Drosophila melanogaster: one gene and its partners. The protein of the gene in region 1 purifies or fractionates together with the protein of each later gene. This does not show direct contact. Each region holds a gene or a part of one and is shown on either strand. Other genes may lie near its edges.

Region 1 (6,841 bases):
TTGTTTGTCTTTAGAAAAAAACTTTTTAAATTGTGTTAAATATTCCATTAAACAGAAAGCTTTTTGTATGCAGTTGCAAACAAAAAAAAAGAAAGAAAAACTGTCAGTGGCAGCAATAGAAGCAGCAGCAGAATTGCGCGTGCCGCAGATAAGTTGCCACAGTTAAAGGATGTGCACTGGGAAAAATCTGTTAATCTTGAATATTATATATGTACCTGTTCATTTGTGTGGAAAATGTGCGTTTCCTTCAATGCTTCTAATTTGTAATAATTTTATTGTTATTTTCTTAAATTTATACACCTATTTTCTCAGCACAAAGAAGGCGTGGCAACGAATGGACCCCACCCACACAAATCCTGCCAATAAGTTAGGAATTTTTATTATAATTTTATGCTCAAATGCATGCCACTTTATTTTTTAGAGCCACGCGTGGCAAAGGGAAACTTTTGCCGCCAGCCATCAAGTTTATTGGGGGGCTTAGCCATTCCCGTTGTGGGGCATTAATTGAGCCGCCGGGCTTTTAAAATAATTGCAACATGCAAGACTACTTTCATGCCACGGAGTGTTTGATTCAGATATGTCCAGTGGAAAATAAATGTATGCCAATATTTCAGTGGAAATCGCACATCGCACAAATATTAATTTCAATATGGTCGGCGAGGGAAAATAACAAAATACTAGAGTGGTGCCTGCTACGAGTCCTAGATAATCCTAATTCCGATTGAAATTAATTTAAAAATTAGCATACATAATTAACAAAAATAGGCTTTAACTGGTTTGCGAATTTCCGTGCAAATTTATTAAGGCAAAACTGTCAATATGGAAATTACGTATTTTCTTAGACGTTTTTCGTCACTACTTGGCTCAAAATAGTCAGAAATCTACGAAACTAACTTTTTTGTACATCTTTTGACCTAAACTAACAGGGCATATAACTTTTTGACCGTTTTTCCAAAATCCATATTTTGGCCATTTTTGAATTTTTTGTAAGGGGTACCATCATCATTTTTTGCAAAATTTGGCTCAAAATTTTTTTTCCAAAATTTGATTTTGGTTGGAAGGGGAGTTCGATTACGAGTCCAACAAGGTATGACAATCCATATTTCGGACAATATTTCTCAAGTTATGGCTGAAAAACGATTATTTTATGGTGGTTTATGCGAATTTATATGTCTCAAATGAAAACATGCAGCTTTCTTTCCCCTTGTAACCATTTATTCTTTATTTATAACATTGTATTTGTTTATATATTTCATTCTGTATTATGATCATGTATTAATTATGATTAGCAGTGAAAAGTATGCAACATTCAATTAGCGTCTGGGGGTAAGTCTGTACTACAAACTTATCGGAGTTCCAAACCCTGTAACGACGATTGGAGTGAGGCATATCGATATGCTTAAGGTAACGATTACGATGATGTTTTTATTATTTGATCAACGCACTGTTACCCATGCGGCAACTTAATTTGATCTGCTTAAATTATTTTATTTTACAATGTGTCTTGGTTACTTAAGACTAACAGATTTTTAATCCTAAAAATGATAGGGAGAATTATAATAGTTGATATAACATAGTAATTATTATTTATTTGATTATTCTAATGAATTTTAAAACTAAGACTTTCTAGGTCAAAACCAGGTTAGGGAGGTCATGAGGGTGGTTTTAAGGTAACAAAAGTATTCTTAATTTATTAAATAGCAAATAAGTATATAAAATTAATAAATCTGACATATTCCTTACTTTTATTTAGCACAAACATAATCATCAAATCAATTATATTCTGGTCCCGCTGAAAGTGTGCTCTTCCTAAGAACGTGCAATTATTAAAGATTCTAGCTTGAGTAAGTATCTTAAAAACTATATATACCCTACGGTAGGGTACAACGCAACGCGACAGTGTGACCAGTTGTCCTTTGCGGCGGCATACCAAAGCAGGCGAAGAGGAAGCACAGAACACAGTAGGCAGCGCAGCAGAGAAAATGTATAATTTACATTAATTTAATTACAAATAGTTCGTCGTGCCAGATCTCGATTCTTGTTATTCCGCAACAGACCGCAGTGGGGGAAAACTGTTGAAAAGCACAGCGCGCACAAGTGAGTCCACCACCTGGTTTTCCGCGGATACTAAATCCCAGCCAGGCAGCCAGCGAGCGAGCGAAAAGTGGGTGAAAATGGCGTGGAAAATGGGAGGAAACCGGGCCGCAACGCTGGCGTTGCTCTTCGCCAGCAGTTTGCTGCTGCTGAGTGCGGCCAATGCCGCCGATTTGGACACGGAGTCGGACGACTTCGAGGATGGTTATGTGGAGGATGTGCAGGTGAGTAGTTGGTCCGACGATGCGGTTCGTAAGATAAAAAAAACGAGAGAAAAAAGTACACGTCAGTGGAAGCTACTAGAAGAAAAGGCGAAACGCTATTGCTGTGAGGGTAGGGGAAGGTGGTTGTGGGGGAGGGGGGTGTTGGTGCGGCCGGCTTCTTCGCTTTATGACCCACAATTAGCATGCGAGTGTGTCTCACTTTTCCAGCAACAAATCCGAATGCGAGGGAAAATAAAACTGTTTACCAACAGACGAGGTCAAGCAGATAGCAACTCCCCATGGCAGCACCAAGAATGCGCTAATCTGTTGCTCCACAGGTTACATCAGAGGTTTATTGAGCAGAGCTTCTATTTAACGTGCTTGTTTCTCTAGAAATTATGCCAGTCATTTATGTTTCTAGGGGAGTTACTGCTACAGATGAGGTCAAGCTAAGAGCAACATAAAACATGTTATTATATAGCTATAACTAGTCTGGCGGGCCCAGGTGTAGCGCTCTCCAATTCAAACCCATGCTGGCCACCCATCTTTCTCTCCCTCTCTTTATCACTTTCCCCACTGACAACCGCGTGCTTCGGATTTTATGGCACCTTATCTAATGTTTCCACATATGCTTTGCAGGAGGAGCCCGCCGTCATCGGTGGCGATGAGAAGCTGGCCTACGAGAGCCCGGTTATCGATGCCAAGAAGTTCCACTTCGCGGATCACTTCGACGACGTGGAGGAGTCCAGGAAGAGGTGGGTGCTGTCGCAGGCCAAGAAGGACGACATCGCCGAGGAGATCTCCAAGTACGACGGCATCTGGAACTGGGAGTCGCCGCAGCGCATCGTTTGGGCTAACGACTTGGGTCTGGTGCTCAAGTCGAAGGCCAAACACGCGGCCATAGCCGCCCCCCTCCGCAAACCGTTCGAGTTCAAGTCGGACAAGCCGCTGGTGGTGCAGTACGAGGTCACGTTGCAGGTTCGTCACCTAGCGAAACGCTCTGGGATTGCATCAGCCGCCGGGCAAATCCAATTAATACCCGCTTACTGACCCAATTCTCGTTCTCCCCCGGCTTATTCTCGTTTTTTTGTTTTTGTTTTTTTGTTTTTAGGAGGGTCAGGAGTGCGGTGGCTCGTATCTGAAGCTTTTGTCCGCCGGAAAAGACACGGAGCAACTAAAAGCGGTAAGTGCGGGGGCCAATGCCCTCATAGATCACACTCGCCTGAACCCCAAAGAACATACATCGTAAACAACCCCCGAAACCGAATCTGTTTACTCGTAGTTCAATGACAAGACACCCTATACCATCATGTTTGGACCGGACAAGTGCGGCAACGATGTGAAAATGCACTTCATATTCCGGCACGTCAATCCAATTAATGGCACCATCACCGAGAAGCACTGCAACAAGCCAAAGTGAGTCCATTAAATGAACGCAACTCTTTGGCAGATTGGAAATGAGCAGCTCGTTCAAGCGTTATCGCTATCAATAGAATCACCACTCTAACCATCTTGCTTGAAAGTTTCCGAGCGTTGTATAGAAACAAAATTGGTGTTCGACATTGCGCATACGTGTAATATCTCCGAAATCACCTTTGCTCACCTTTATCACCCGTTTGGCTCTTCGTCACCGATGGTGGACTATTGCCCCCATTGATGAGCTGAATTTCTGAAGAGGCAGATAAACCGTATATTTATAATCCCATCGATGAATAATATTCTTTTGTTCTTTGCTTTCAGGAACCGTTTGGAAGAGCCATTCAAGGACAAGCTACCCCATCTCTACCAGCTGGTGGTCCGTCCCGATAACAGCTTTGAGATTCGCGTTGACCACAAGATCATCAATGAGGGTTCCCTGCTAACCGATTTCAAGCCACCAGTCAACCCGCCGGCAGAGATCGACGACCCCAATGACCACAAGCCCGAATCGTGGGATGAGCGAGAGAAGATCCCAGATCCCACTGCCCACAAGCCCGAGGATTGGGATGAGGATGCTCCACCCCAGTTGCCCGATACCGATGCCGTCATGCCCAATGGCTGGCTCGAAGATGAGCCCGACATGATTTTCGATCCAACTGCCACCAAACCCGAGGATTGGGATGCCGAAATCGATGGCGAGTGGGAGGCTCCATTGGTGGACAATCCAGTGTGCGAGAAGGCTCCCGGCTGTGGCAAGTGGAAGGCTCCGCTCATCCCCAATCCCAACTACAAGGGCAAGTGGCGTGCACCAATGATCGAGAACCCCAACTACCAGGGCAAGTGGGCACCCAGGAAGATTCCCAATCCAGACTTCTTTGAGGATCTGAAGCCCTTCCAAATGACGCCCATCGTAAGTGCAATTTGCATGGCTTTCGTTGTCCACTTTGCTATAGCCAAACTAACTCTATTTAGAGCGCTGTGGGTCTGGAACTGTGGTCCATGTCCAGCGATATTCTCTTCGACAACCTAATCATCACGGACGACGTGGAGGTGGCCCGTGACTTTGCCGCCAACAGCTTCGACATCAAGCGTCGCTACATCGATCGTGAATCGGTAAGTTTAAAACCCCTAACCTCTTCCGTTTTCCCTTCACAAATAAACACAGGGATTCGTAATCGAGAGACTTCTCTATCCAATTCGAAGAAAACCTTCTGGCACCGCCTAATGCGCCGCATGAACTACAAGCCCGGCTGGTGGGCCCTGTACTTCGTGTACCTGCTCATTCCGGCCAGTTGTTATGTCTTCTATCTCTACCGACGCGCCAAAGAGGTTGGCTCCGGTCTTGTCTTACGCTTTCAAATTTTAATTAGAAGTGCCTACAGTACAACCACATGAACACCTCTCATATTTGCCCTGCACCGTGCACCTGTAATTGCTACTGCTATTCTTTGGCTTTCTCATTAATAGGACTCATTCGTGAATAAGGTAGTCGAGCTAGCCAAGGCCAATCCCTCGATCTGGGGCATTGGCTTGGTGGCCATTGTGGCGCTGGTTGCCCTCACCATCTACTGTAGATTTGGTACCGCTAAGAGTCAGGTAATGATGCTCGAGCTTTCACTTGAGATCTTCATAAGGAATTTACTAATCCCACTTTTGCTATTAGGACTCGGCTGCCAAAAAGGCTGCTGCCGAGGCCAAGAAGTCCGACGATCCTCAGCCCGACGATGAGCCCGAGGCCGAGGAGGAGAGCGACGAAAGGGCCGCTGGCGATACCAGCAAGGAGAGCACACCGCTGTCCGCTAGTCCCAAGAAGAACCAAAAGTCTGATTTAGATGATAACGAAGAGGAGTCCAAGGCGGCGGAGAGCCGAGAGCCCGCACAGACTGAGGTGCGTTCAAAAATAAGCTTGCTTGTGTCCACCACCAGAACTAATCTCAACGTTATTCTCTTTAGGAATCTAACACAAAAACACGCAAGCGTCAAGCGCGCAAGGAGTAAGCGGGCATCCCCACATGCCGAATCCGAAAACAAACACTGCAACTCTAAAGAAAAAAAAAAACTTAATCCAATTCCAAAAGCCAGCGGTTGCGAAGCAGCAACAACCAAAATGTTTGTTCGCCAAGGCAGCCGACATCTCCCACAAACTACACACACACACCACACACACACTCGTTTCGGTTTAGTCAACTCTGTACGTACTTTTGCCGTATTATCGTTGCATTTCTGTCGTGTTCGACCCTCTGTCGTCCCCATATCTCCTATACATATATAGCACCCTTACACAGAGCCAGCCGCGATGGCACCGCTTTATAGTGTTTAGTTGGAGTGATGATCCTCCTTTTGATTTGTGTAAAAATGGAAAACACCAACTAGACAATTGAGGGAAACAAATCAACTACAACTGAAACTAAAGCAGCAAACAAAGAGGGAACTAAAGCAGATAAATCTAATGGCAAGCATCTAGTTTAATATTATGTAATTTAAACGAAATTGAATAGTATGTTAGTTATACTCAAGTTTCCATTTTCATTTGTACCGATGAAAATTTACAGCGAAAAATAAAACTAAATGTCAAAACCAAAGCAAGAGCCTTTGAATCCAACCAACTGCCAGCAGCTAAGCGAAAGGACTGAGCCAAGTCCTGTCGCACAGGTCCTGATTCCAACCCCCATGCAGCCATACCACATGGGTGTTAATTTAAATGTCAACCCCTGATGTTGGGATAGATCAGATTCGAATCGGATTTATTATGCTCGATGGTGCGTGGGGCGCCGACCAGACCAGACCAGACCAGACACATTGCATTCGTGCGGTTTTGGGGCATTTGCCAAATGCCAAATGCCAAAATGTTTTCATTATTTGGCCGATTGGATCGATCTGGTATAGAATACATTTAACAATCATTTTGCGAGTCAAGAAAGAAGGAAATCCCCGCCAATAGAATTCATTTTCAGCAAATGATACCATCATGTATTAGAGGCCTCCTTTTTGTCGCTCTGAATAATTCAATTCAATTTCCTAAGCTCATAAATATGCCAAATCAGACAGACAGTCCTCGTTAATGGAATTGTTATGACAACAGTAAGCCGACGACGATTTGCATTCGCCAAAAGGAGGAGTTGGGA
Region 2 (4,831 bases), on another chromosome or scaffold:
TGGTTTTAAAACGCAAATAAATATTTAAATATCTTTCATATTTACCTCATCGGTGCTCAGAGTCATGCTAATGGAATCATTGACGGGCAGAATTAGCTCTTCGTGCCGCTTTCCCCCTTTAAAGGAATGCATGTGCATAAGTTTATGTGCTTATAATATATGTATTAATTTACCCACAATATTTGATGAGCGCTATGTTTACGGGCGCCACACAAGTAACCGAAAACATGTTTGAAAATGTTTTTAATTCAGAAATTCACTTGTTTTCAGCTGCTTTCCAGCGAAAGCGACAACTGTTGACTGCGGTGTGACCACCCAGTGGACTCTTCAAATATACCATGTGGCCCCAAAAAATGTAGTTGTGGGTATTCCCCAATTACCGCCCATATTGAGGTTTGAGTCACGGCTAAATCGCTATTTCCATTTATTTTTAAACCAATGAAAGTTTGTAGTGAGTAAACATTAGTGTTAATAAAAATAGAAAATACATTAGCGTTAAGCATAGAGCTGTGTTTGGTTTTTGTATTTATTAGAATTGTATTTTAAATGTGAATACTTGCAGCCGCAACCATTCCGATTTCATGTGTTTCCAAATTATTTACGTGTTTAGTTTTCTTTTGGTTGTGTGTGGCTTTGAGAGACGCGGGTTGAGTAGCATGCGGTGCATTAACTTGGTTAAATTGAATGGGTCGGATGAAATGATGGGGACTAGCCCTTGAGGCTCGTCATGCCCGCACGCATCACCTCGTCGACGAGAAGCAGGTTGCTGGCAATGATCGAACAGGAGTTGAGGATCTGCTTCTTAACGATGTAGTTGTCGTAGACGCCCAGATCCACGGGCTTCATGGGCTCCCCGGTGGCCAGATCCAGGCCGACCAGTTCGGGACTCAGGCGATCCTCAACAGTCAGCTTGACGATTGTGTCCTGGGCATCGTAGCCGCTGTTCACGGCCAGCGTCTTGGGAATGACCAGCAGGGCATCGGCAAAGGCCTGCACTGCCAGGCGGGACTTGCCCTTGATGGTGTCCTTGAAGGCGACCAGCTCGTTGTACGCGCGCACCTCGAATGCTCCAGCTCCGGGCACCAGAGCCTTATCGGCAATGGTGTTGTTGATGGCACGCAGACCGTCCCTGATGGCGTCCTTGATCTGGGTGATCGTGTGCTTGTTGGGACCCTTGATCAGGATCGTGACGGACAGCGGGTTCTTGCAGTCCTCAACGAAAGTGTACTTGTTCTCGCCCAGAACATGCTCGTACACCACACCGGCGTATCCCAAGTGCTCCTCCTGCAGATCGTCAAAGGAGTTCATTGCAGTGCCACCGCAGGCCAAAGACAGACGCTCCATGTTGCGGCGCTTGGCGCGACGCAAGGCCAGGATGCCCTCCTTGGCCAGGGCGTCCAGCGAGATGGGGTCGATGCCCTTCTGGTTGATCAGGACGAAGGTTTTGTCGGTGCCATCGCACACGGAGCGCTTCAATTCGATCACCTTCTTCACACGCTGGTCGATGAATTCGCGCTCGGCGCGCACAAAGGCCTCACGCTCCTCGGCGGTCTTGTAGAAGAAGCCAGAGTTGACCTCGGCCTTCTCGTACTCCAGCGAGACATTGGCCGTAAGGATGTAGGCATTCTCCAAACGCTTCGGCATGTCCGGGTGGCGAGCACCATGGTCCATGACTAGTCCACGCACCAGCTGTGTATCGGTATCGGATTTGTGCTGCATCTCCATCAGCTCCACCATGTGGAGGTCCACGGGCTTGGTCTTATCGGCACTGGCAATGGTCAGCACGGCATTCACGCAGACGTCCGTAAGCAGATCGGCAAGGGCGGGATGCACCTTGGTCTTCAGACTTGTGTTGGCCACCTCCACCAGGTTCTTCTTGTTGATCTCCACGGGCACCTTGACCTGGTCGAGCACCTCCAATGCCTTGTCGCGTGCCTTCTCGAATCCATCGGTCATGATGCGAGGATGCAGTCCCTCGGACAGATAGATATCGGCCTGCTTCAGGAGCTCGCCAATAAGCATCACAGTGGTGGTGGTTCCATCGCCGGTGGAATCATCCTGGGCCGTGCTGGCCCTGGCAATCATAGAGGCAGTCGGATGTTGGATCTGCATTTCGTGCAGCAGGACATTGCCATCCTTGGTGATCTTGATGTCGCCGGCGCCAGAAACCAACCTGCGAAGTTTCTAGAATTAGTATGCTTGTTTCACTTTTCACGGCGCGTGAGTCAAGTCACGCCTCTTTCGATGCCACTTTCTGAATCACCCGGTGCTGGATATGCAGGTAAACACACATTTATGAATAAATTAAAGCCTCTGGGGGCATCTTTCATTTAAGATTCTTTTTGAAATTAAATAAAAACACCTAAATTCTAAGCTTTTTGCTCCAGAGTTGCAACATTCTCTTTCTTTCTTTTGCGATGACGCATGCCGCTAGTTCCAGTCTAACCTCAAACTTGCAGTTGCCGCAGCTGTGACCAAAACGTTTGTTTTTTCGCCTATAAACTAGCATTCTCACTCAAATTGCTAATGGAACGCAAAGTGAGGGATATTAGAGGCCGGTTTTAGTAACTTACATCTTAACGGTGCCCTTGGGTCCCAAATTGGTGCGCATCACATCCTGCAGTCCCTTGGCGGCACTGATATTGATGGCCAGAGCCTGGGCGGCGCGGGCAAACTCGGCCTTGGGGTTCAGCAAGCTAATCGAAGCCATCGCGTGTCGCAATTAAACAGAGATTTTCTTAGCTCGGCAAAATAAATCAATAGGAATCGGCACAAATCCAAGCACGCTTAAAGTTAGGCGAATCGAAGAAATCAGATGGCAAGTGTGACCAGATGGGGGAAAGACAACTAGAGACTTCAAAGCAGTACAATCGATAGTATTGTAATCACTTCCAATTTGTAACACTTTTATTTATTTCTAATTAGATTTTTCGTTGTGGTGGCTTACATGCAAAATGACATTTAAAAAATGTTTCATATATATATCTTTTTTTTTATTTAAATTTATTAAACGAAATTATTTTATTGACTAGCGTACCATTACCCTTCTTGGGCAACTTAATTTAATCGGTATCAATTTAAGCGATTCTTAATATCTAAGTTATTTACAAAGATTATATGATTATGAGTATTAAAGAAGGTCTTAAGGGTGGTAATATATTTCCCGCTAGTAATGGCTATTTCCCGCTAAATCACTGCAAAATAAGCCGCACAATTTAATCGGCTCACCTGCGACCACCGATGGCGATTAGCAAATGAAATGCAACCGTGCGCCCAAACCCCAACACTAAAAAGTTTTTTTTTATTGGCCAAATCGGGATAAAATCAAGTCAAAATAAGGCACAATACTAGAGTGCGCCGACCGCAGCGTAGAGTACCAAGAGACTTAATTGAATTCTGATTGTTAACCGGACAGGACGAGGATCCGCAGGCGGCGCGATGAGTGTCCTGGCGTATCCACGTACCAACGACGAGGAGATTTTCCGTCACTGCACCAAGGACTGCGGCATGGTGACGGCCACAGATGACTTCCAGTACTTCGCCCTGCGTTGCATCTTCTGCAGCGAGAAGTTTCTCTACTTCGACTCCTTCATCGGCCACATGCAGACAGTTCACCTGGGCGACCAGTCCGTGGCGAATACCTCCTCCCGTCTCCCCTTCAATCTCGGCGAGCCCATGTCCCTGTCCGGTCGTAATGGGGATCTGCCCAACTTCCACGAGATCGAAGACTTAACGGACGCGGACACAGCGCTGCTGGAGCCCCAAATGGTCATCAAACAAGAGCTCCAGGATCTGCCCTGCAGCGATGATGATGTGGTCGCCGGCGAAGAAGACGACGATGAGCAACGGCTGAACGATTCCGAGGCCGATGAGGACGAGGCCATATTACCCGAAAGCGATGTACCGGTGGTCAGTTCCAAGACGCGGGCACGCAAAAAGGTCACAAAGCAGCGCCAGAGGGACATGTCTAGCGAGCTTCTCATCGCCGGTGACGGCGATTCATCCATGGACGACTACGGTGATCCGGATCACAGCTATATGGACGACAATTCCGGAGAGTACATGGACTTTGCTGGATTCGACGGCGTTAACCACAGTGGTTTCGGAACCGAATCGGACTTTCTCAGCTATGATGAGATGGTGGAGGAGTCCCTGCTGGGAGTAAGTTATATTTTTATACTATATACATACAGATATTTTTGTTAAAATTTTCGCCCATCGATTTAAAAGCTACATTTATTTCACCCTTAATTTTCACTAATATCCATATATACCTATTTGTAATGATTTTATCATTTTCCCACCCCTTAGCGCGACCGGGAGGTTACGATGCACATCAAGGACCGCAAGATGATCCAGTTTCTCATCCACTCGTATCAGCGCAACCCCTTTTTGTGGGACCACGGCAATGCACAGTTCCGGGATCGCGTTAAGCGCGCCCGCTTCCTCGACTGGATTGTGCTGGAGTTCAAGAGCCGGTTTAACATCTCGCTGGCCAAGGACGCCATCACCCGTAAGTGGGACAACCTGCGCACGGTATACAAGCGGGAGTGCAATCGCATGGCTCTGGAGAAGACCAACATCAGTACGCTGTGGTACTTCAAGGAGCTGCACTTCCTCAACGAGGTATACAGCTACAACGATAAGATGTCCGATGCTGTTGTTAAGGTTAGTGGCTCCCCTTTCAATTCGATCCTATGCGTCCGCTTCTCTGAATTGGGGGTGGATTGAAACGGAACCTTGTTAGCGGATTAATTAACGTAAACAGGTGGGCGACTTGAGTAGAGACTTTATTTATTTATCCAGCGACGTGATTGGGTGGCTGACTACC
Region 3 (6,965 bases), on another chromosome or scaffold:
CGGTGACGTCACAAGGCTTTCCCAACGCTTTTTCCATAGAATCAGTTGTTGTTTGGGCTGCACAAGCCGGCAATGTAAACAAAACATAAAATATATGAATGGGTGAGTGAGTTGTGCGGGTGTCTGGGTTATTCGACTGCTTCGGCTGAGTGGGTGGCTGTTTTGGGTGGAAATTGGGTGACCCCGATGCACTGGTGTTGGTGCAAATTCGGCAATGCGTGTGCGCTGCGCCTGATGAATGAAAAGTTCGAGTGGCCGCGTGGAAAGCGGGAAAACATCTGAGCGTCAGCTGCACGGTCATATGTTTGATATTATTCCTGTGAAAGCGGAAAATGATTTTGAATATTAAAGGAAATCGATGCGGAAAATGTTTTGGAGTATTTAATAGCCATTAAATGGATAACGTAGATTTTGTCACAGGTTTATAAAATGTAGTTATAGGTAATATATTCACTAAAACAGAAACTGCCTTACACACTTTTAGTATATTGTTTTATTTACTTAAATTACCTAAGTAAATAAAAGTATTTTCAAATTGTTACAAAAAGCACACCCTTTTTTCTATTTTTGTTAATATTTGAATGCCCCACCAATCGATTGAATTTGAAGCCAATTCGTGATTCGGAAAGCGCAGAGTGTCCTGTATTAAATTCAGCCTTGCAGACAAATGCAAAAACCATCGACAGGCCGTGTCAGAAAACACACGAAAATCGAGTGAGCCCCAGAGCAATCGCATTTTAATTTGAATTCTTTCTGGTGAGGCCCTTACAAAAGCCCCCATGCGATGTGCACGACCAAAAAATGAACTTAAGTTTCGGCCAAGAATCTTGTTGAAGAATTTCTATTTGAGCATTTGTCATGTCTTCGCCTTAGTCTATAAAATATACTGTCGGTGGATGGGGACGCGGGGTGTGTGCAAATATGCGAAAGCTAAATGTCAGAGTCAACCCTTTCGCAGGCCATTCTGCCTGCTTTTTTTTCAGCCTTTTCTGGCCGGTGTTGCCGCCTTGGCCCCTTTTTTGGGTGGAAAGGAAAGTTTTTATCTTAAGCTGCGCGCTGACAGGCAGCAAAGCGGCAAGCGAGGCAACACAAGTACAAGCCGGACAAAGAAGCCAGGGGGAGTGGGGATGGGCTGGCCGAACGGAAAATGGGAAATGGAAAATGGACGGGCAACGACAAGGCGGGCAAACGTCAAGTTATAGAAAATGCTAGTGCCTGCACAATAAGAAAAGTGTCATCCGAATTGCTAATCAATGGAATGATGTTGAGGAGACTCAAAAGAAATTTAAAGACCTACTAATAAGAAAAAACTGAAAAATCATTAAGTTTTTAAACTATTCAAACATATTTAAATAATAATTTGTGCAAATTTATTATTGCTTAAAACAACTAAATAAAAATATATAATGTCATTCAAAGTTTCAAAAAAAATTTATTCAATTAAACAAAGGCCATTTTGTATCTTTTCAAAAGTATATGACTTAAAAATAGGTTCATTCATTTTGCTTATGCAAGCTAAGGACTCAGCTTTTTGTCAAAGTGCAGAAAAGGGGAATGAAACTGGTCTTAGAGGGAGAAAAAATTAAAGGACATGCTGAACGCATTCCTTGGGACACGGGCTGACAGTGAGTGATTTGACCATACCCTCATTTGCGTGCAGCAAGGACCAAGATCCGAGCTCTGGGTTCCGGGTTCCGGGGTTCCGACTACCGAGATCCAGGCACACCAATGGATTAATGTGCAAGGATGCGACTCGTCAGGCAGGCCAAGAAAATTACGTCAAGCTACGCAATGGGCCCGTGCCTTTCCCACTGCCCCCCACCACCCCACAACCTAACCAAATCCAACCCAGCCCAGCACAACCCAAACCATTATCCTTTTGGAAATCTGATGATGAGCGCCGACTGCTGCGGGCGGGCGACTCAAAATGGGAGTGACTCATTTACGCGCTGCACTCGAGTTTCAACCGGCAGCCGGCGAAGGAAAAGCGGGACTCCGAGAACTTTTCCAAGCTATTTCTGCGCCCAAATGACAGCGAAATGTAATAATGAAAAACTTTTTCTTTGTCAACTTGATGAGTATGAAATTTTTCACAAAAAAAAAAAAAGAAAAAAGATTAAATAAAATAAAAGACGAGCGGCAAAGGAACGGGTTGAGCTTGGGTGGCAGGGCGGTGAGCTAGAAATATGAAACGTCAGGACTGGTCCTTAGTCTTAGGTTGGCCTTAGTCTTGGTTGGCCTTCGAGATTAGTTATGGCAAAGGAATTTCCAAGCGAAGGCGCACGCAAATGATTGCATGCCGCATTACGCATACGCCCGGTTGTGCGTGGCCGGTTTTAAAATTGAATTTTAATATACAGCAGACACAAAGAGATGTACATGACCATATGTATATGTATATAGCTGATCCCTGGCCATGGCTGCTATAAGCCAGGTTATCCAGCCACCCCGAAAAAACACATGTTCTGCATTTTTACTTTGTACTGGACCAGGACCCACGGTCCATCATCCCTACCATTTTGCTGCTGCACCGCATCGGGGATTGCGGAATTCATAAGCTATGTGCGTTTGCTACAAAAGTGGAATTTTCGCCACGCCAAAGGATACCCGCTTGCAGGCTCCCAGCTCACAGTTCCCACTTCCCGTTTCCTAGATCCTGAGCATGCCATTAACCCACTCGCAAAAAGCGCAAAATCGCTTAAATTATTGTTACAAGCTGCCAGTGCCAAGTGGCAGGCACAGCAACAGCAAAAACAAGAACAAGACCAGGGGGGCAGGTGGCAGGTGGCAGGTGGCACAGGGCAAACCACCTGAGCTTTTGGCCGCGCTTTGCTTTGAGTGCCAGTTAGCATAACTCCGCAGGCCGCAGGCGAATATGTCTGTTGTTGCTGCTTTTGCCGCTTTGCTACTCTCCTGATGTTGGGTGCTGCTCCTGATTTTGCTGTTGCCGTTAGAAGTATTTGTGGCGCGGCAAAGGACATCCTCTCGGCAGCCCGTTCTCACCTGCCTGCCAAGCTGCAAGCTCCAGCTGAAAGTGTCTTTGGTGAGCGCTACCCACCACCTAAATATACAAAGTGTGGGGGAAAAACAAGAAAAATAACAACCTACAATAGTCTCTTCTTTGTTACCTAAAAATATAAGAAAAGCACACCTCGCAATTGTGTTGAAAAAAACAAATTGATACGAAAAAAAGCGATAGGGATGCCACAACAAAGCGCAATCTTATCAAACGTATTAAACATTTTGCTTATCAAAACAGCGAGGTTTGCACAACAATGCGAAATAGGAGGAGGCAAAATTCTTATCTGCATTTCATCAGTCAAACATTTACTGTAATCAAAAATCGCAACTATAAGGAACACAAGTAAAGGCCACAAATGAGAAGCAAATTATTGTTCGATATCCGTGAATTTGAAGGGGAACGTAATGGCCGGTTCCATGACGAACATGGTCTTGAATGGACGGCTGGCATCCCGATTGAACTCCACATGGAAATTGCGAATCAACTTGGCCACTGTGGTCTCCATTTCCAGATCCACCACCCGTTTGCCAATGCACATGCGGGGTCCAAAGCCAAAGGGAAGGAACGTGAAGGGGCTGACCTGCATCTTCTTTCCGGTCTCCGGATCCCTTAACCAGCGCTCCGGCAGAAATTCATCTGGTCGTGGATAATATGTAGCTTCCTTCATCAGCACATTTGAGCCGAGCAGGACAGTCGTTCCCTTGGGCACCCGGTAACCCGAAAGTATCACATCATTTTGGCAGGTTCTCATGGTTCCCAAGCCATTGGGATAGTATCGCAGTGTCTCCTTGATCACAGCCCTCAAATATGGCATATCCTTCATGTTCTCCTCGTTGAGTAGGGAATCCTTTGTGGGCATGATGCTCAAGAGCTCCTCCCGCAGTTTGGCCTGCTTATCCGGATGCTTTGAGAGGCAGAGTAAAACAGCCGACAGAAGCGTGGCTGTGGCATCCACACCAGCGAATAGGATGTCCAGACTCATAATCACCGCCACCTTGGGATCGATCTCCATTAATCTCTCCAGCATACTGTTACTATTTATTTTTTCGCCAGCCTGGCGGCGCTTTTCCAGTGCATCCTGATTTTCCTTCAGCATTTTCTGGGCCACATTCAAACTGTCATTGAGAGTTCGCTTCATTTTCCTGTAGGTGGGCGTCGATATGATCTTCCACATGGAGGGCTGAATGTCTAGCTTAAATGTGAGACGGAAAATATCCCTCGAGGTCTGGAAGAGGGTCAATGCATCGGAATTATCGCGGTTTTTTCTAATCAGACCCATTTGCCGATCGAAAGCCACCAGGCCGAGTGACTCGAAAACAAGCCGGCTTATTTCATCCGTAAAATCTTCGGGGACTTCTAGAGTTTTTGGATCGCGGATTTCCTTAATGCTGCACAGTAAAATGGAATTTATTGCTATATATAAATAACAATTCAATAACAAAAATTTCTTACCGCTCTATAAACTCATTATTGATATTAGACAATGGTTCATAATACATTCTCAAGCCCCTGGGTTGCATAAAGATGGGATTAATGGCTGATCGTAGTTTTCCCCATGCCTCATTTTGTCTGAAATATTCAAATTCAATTGTTTCCTTGCTACTTATTAGATTTTATACTCACGAAGCCACCAATCCTTGAACCTCACCGTAAACATCTGGTCGAACGTGTTCGCGGAAATATACAATGGAATCCAGGCCATCACGACGTGGCCAGATACCCTCGTTGCGGAATACCATCTCAATGTCCTTTGTGTTGAAAGTGGTGACCCAATCCTTGCGGCCAAACATTCCGGGCATTACATAGATATCTCCATAGCGCTTTCGCATGGCACTGGTGTATTCCGTAATCGATGCATTTTGGAATTCACCACCGGGCATGAAAGCCCTCATAAATTTGAATTTGTTGGGCCGCGGAATCTCATCGTAGGTCTTGTGCTCCTCCGTTATCTATAATTGGAAACTAATAACATGATAAATCTATTTCGACTGGATTTTGTGCATACTAACACTAGATTTAGCTTGTTCATGTGCCAAAACGGAGGCTGATCTTGAAGATCGAACGGGACCCACGTAAATCGCCACAGATCGCGCACTGCTCAATGTATTCATTCTATTCCTTTTGGTGATCAACTGCAACTAAAAACAGTTCCACTTTCGAGAACGTTCTTATACCAAAGGCTTATCTCTAAAACGTAGAAAAGAGAGGAGAGCGAATAACTTGAAATGCTTCAAAATGCAAAAATCTCAAACAAAAACAAAAGCCAGCAAACAAAGCATGAGTTTCATTTTCTTATCAGCTGAACGGTATAATCGCCGTGAATTGCCTACCTCACTCAACTGAAAAAATAAACAAATGAACGTGACTGGCTAGAAAAACAAATTGAGAGCGTTGGAACTTACAATAAATACACCTCAGAGAATTTGATACTACTATTACGACTATTACATACCCGTTACTCATTTAGTGGGATCGCTAGAAAAAAATCTAAAATATTTAAATATTTTTTAAAAATTTATAAGGATTCTAGTTCAACGGTAGACAATTTCAAGATAAATAACCAAATTAAAGAAAAATAAAAACAATTCTTAGAGTTGATCCTTGTTCTCTTTGCATACTGATATTTTATTTATTTTTTATTTTATTTATTTACTGGCGCCGCTTTTCCACAGAGTCCTCGGTGTCCTTTATCATTTTCTGTGAGAACATTAAGATGTCATCGAGAAGACGCATCATCATCCGAAAGTTTGGAGTGGAGATAAATCTCCACATTGATGGCTGTATATTCAATTGAAAGGCATATCTGAACATCGTGCTTCGTGTTTTGGAACACAGTCAATGCATCTGGATCGTCTCGATTTCGACTGATCAAACCCATTGGGCGATCGAAAGCCACCAAGCCAAGGGATTCGAAAACCAGGCGGCATCTCCAGAGTTCTAGCATCTCGAATTTCTTTAATGTTGGAGAAAAAGTAAAACTCAGGTGGACATCGAAATATACAAGTATGAATTAATTCTTAGCGCTCAATGAACTAGTTGTTGAACTCATAATAAGTTTTCAATCCTTTGGGTTGCATAAAAATTGAATTGACGGCTGATCGCATCTTGCCCCACAACGCTGCTTGCCTTAAATTATAGTTTCCAAATTAACTTCCGCTTTTGATATACATATGTAATTATTTGGTAACTTACGCGAATATCAGACCCACACTTTCTCCATAAATGGAAATATGTGATCGAGGGAAAGAAATCCTTTTCCGGCCAAGTTCCCTCACTGCGGAAAACAGTCTCGATATTCTTTGTACTAAATGTGGTGACTCAATCCTTGCGACCAAACATTCCAGGCATTATGAAGATATCACCATAACAACTTCTCATCGCTGCTGCATAATCCAAAATTGAGGCATCGTGAAATTCTCCACCCGGCATAAATGCCCTTGCAAATTCCTGTTTTCTGGGAAGTGGAATGTTCTTATAGGATCTCGCTTCAGTGACTACACTATCGGCTACCTTAATATCCAGATCACATATGTATGTTAGTGGAATACCCGATTGTGGTGATAGTATTTCAACTCACATTGGCCAAAATCTGTGCCTGACTAGAAGATGCCCTCACAAGCTGAATGGATTGCGCATTCTGCGCAATACTCATAGTTAATTTTATTAACTGCTTGCCTAAAATGACAACTGAGCTGGGAAGCCTGCCAAAATGCTTATATAGCATCGCATCCCAAGAGGAATAACAAAACGATTCTCTACAAATTGAAAAGCTGCAATCCAGCATGACTCCTAAGAATTCCCACCATCACAGTGATAGAAAGCGAAATTATTGCCGTAAGTCAAGAAAGCTTGATACTGCTAAAAAAATATCAACCGCTCATATTCAATATAAGTATGTTATTGTTCAGACATAGGCTTATATGCTCAGTAGAAGATATGTTTT

What was found. Proteins that work in one complex are often made in the same cells at the same time.
Region 2: the proteins of Cnx99A (region 1) and CCT6 purify together in Drosophila melanogaster (affinity purification with mass spectrometry, with the first as the bait; one large-scale study listed by BioGRID). This does not show direct contact.
Region 3: the proteins of Cnx99A (region 1) and Cyp12d1-p purify together in Drosophila melanogaster (affinity purification with mass spectrometry, with the first as the bait; one large-scale study listed by BioGRID). This does not show direct contact.

What each region holds. Positions count from the first base shown.
Region 1 is NT_033777.3:29,314,708-29,321,548, reverse strand, and holds Cnx99A (calnexin 99A), read left to right. Parts: upstream 1-1,904; 5' UTR 1,905-1,961; exon of another isoform or gene 1,962-2,015; 5' UTR 2,016-2,174; coding exon 2,175-2,318; intron 2,319-2,936; coding exon 2,937-3,275; intron 3,276-3,408; coding exon 3,409-3,480; intron 3,481-3,579; coding exon 3,580-3,713; intron 3,714-4,037; coding exon 4,038-4,626; intron 4,627-4,688; coding exon 4,689-4,829; intron 4,830-4,919; coding exon of another isoform or gene 4,920-5,045; intron 5,046-5,183; coding exon 5,184-5,312; intron 5,313-5,379; coding exon 5,380-5,604; intron 5,605-5,669; coding exon 5,670-5,714; 3' UTR 5,715-6,295; downstream 6,296-6,841.
Region 2 is NC_004354.4:15,744,650-15,749,480, reverse strand, and holds CCT6 (chaperonin containing TCP1 subunit 6), read right to left. Parts: upstream 2,834-4,831; 5' UTR 2,711-2,833; coding exon 2,574-2,710; intron 2,174-2,573; coding exon 709-2,173; 3' UTR 510-708; downstream 1-509. Other genes in the region: Mvd (mevalonate diphosphate decarboxylase), read right to left, coding at 46-116, 178-229; CG8944 (uncharacterized protein), read left to right, coding at 3,439-4,161, 4,312-4,668.
Region 3 is NT_033778.4:11,116,716-11,123,680, forward strand, and holds Cyp12d1-p (cytochrome P450 12d1 proximal), read right to left. Parts: upstream 5,170-6,965; 5' UTR 5,134-5,169; coding exon 5,032-5,133; intron 4,972-5,031; coding exon 4,646-4,971; intron 4,592-4,645; coding exon 4,475-4,591; intron 4,411-4,474; coding exon 3,390-4,410; 3' UTR 510-3,389; downstream 1-509.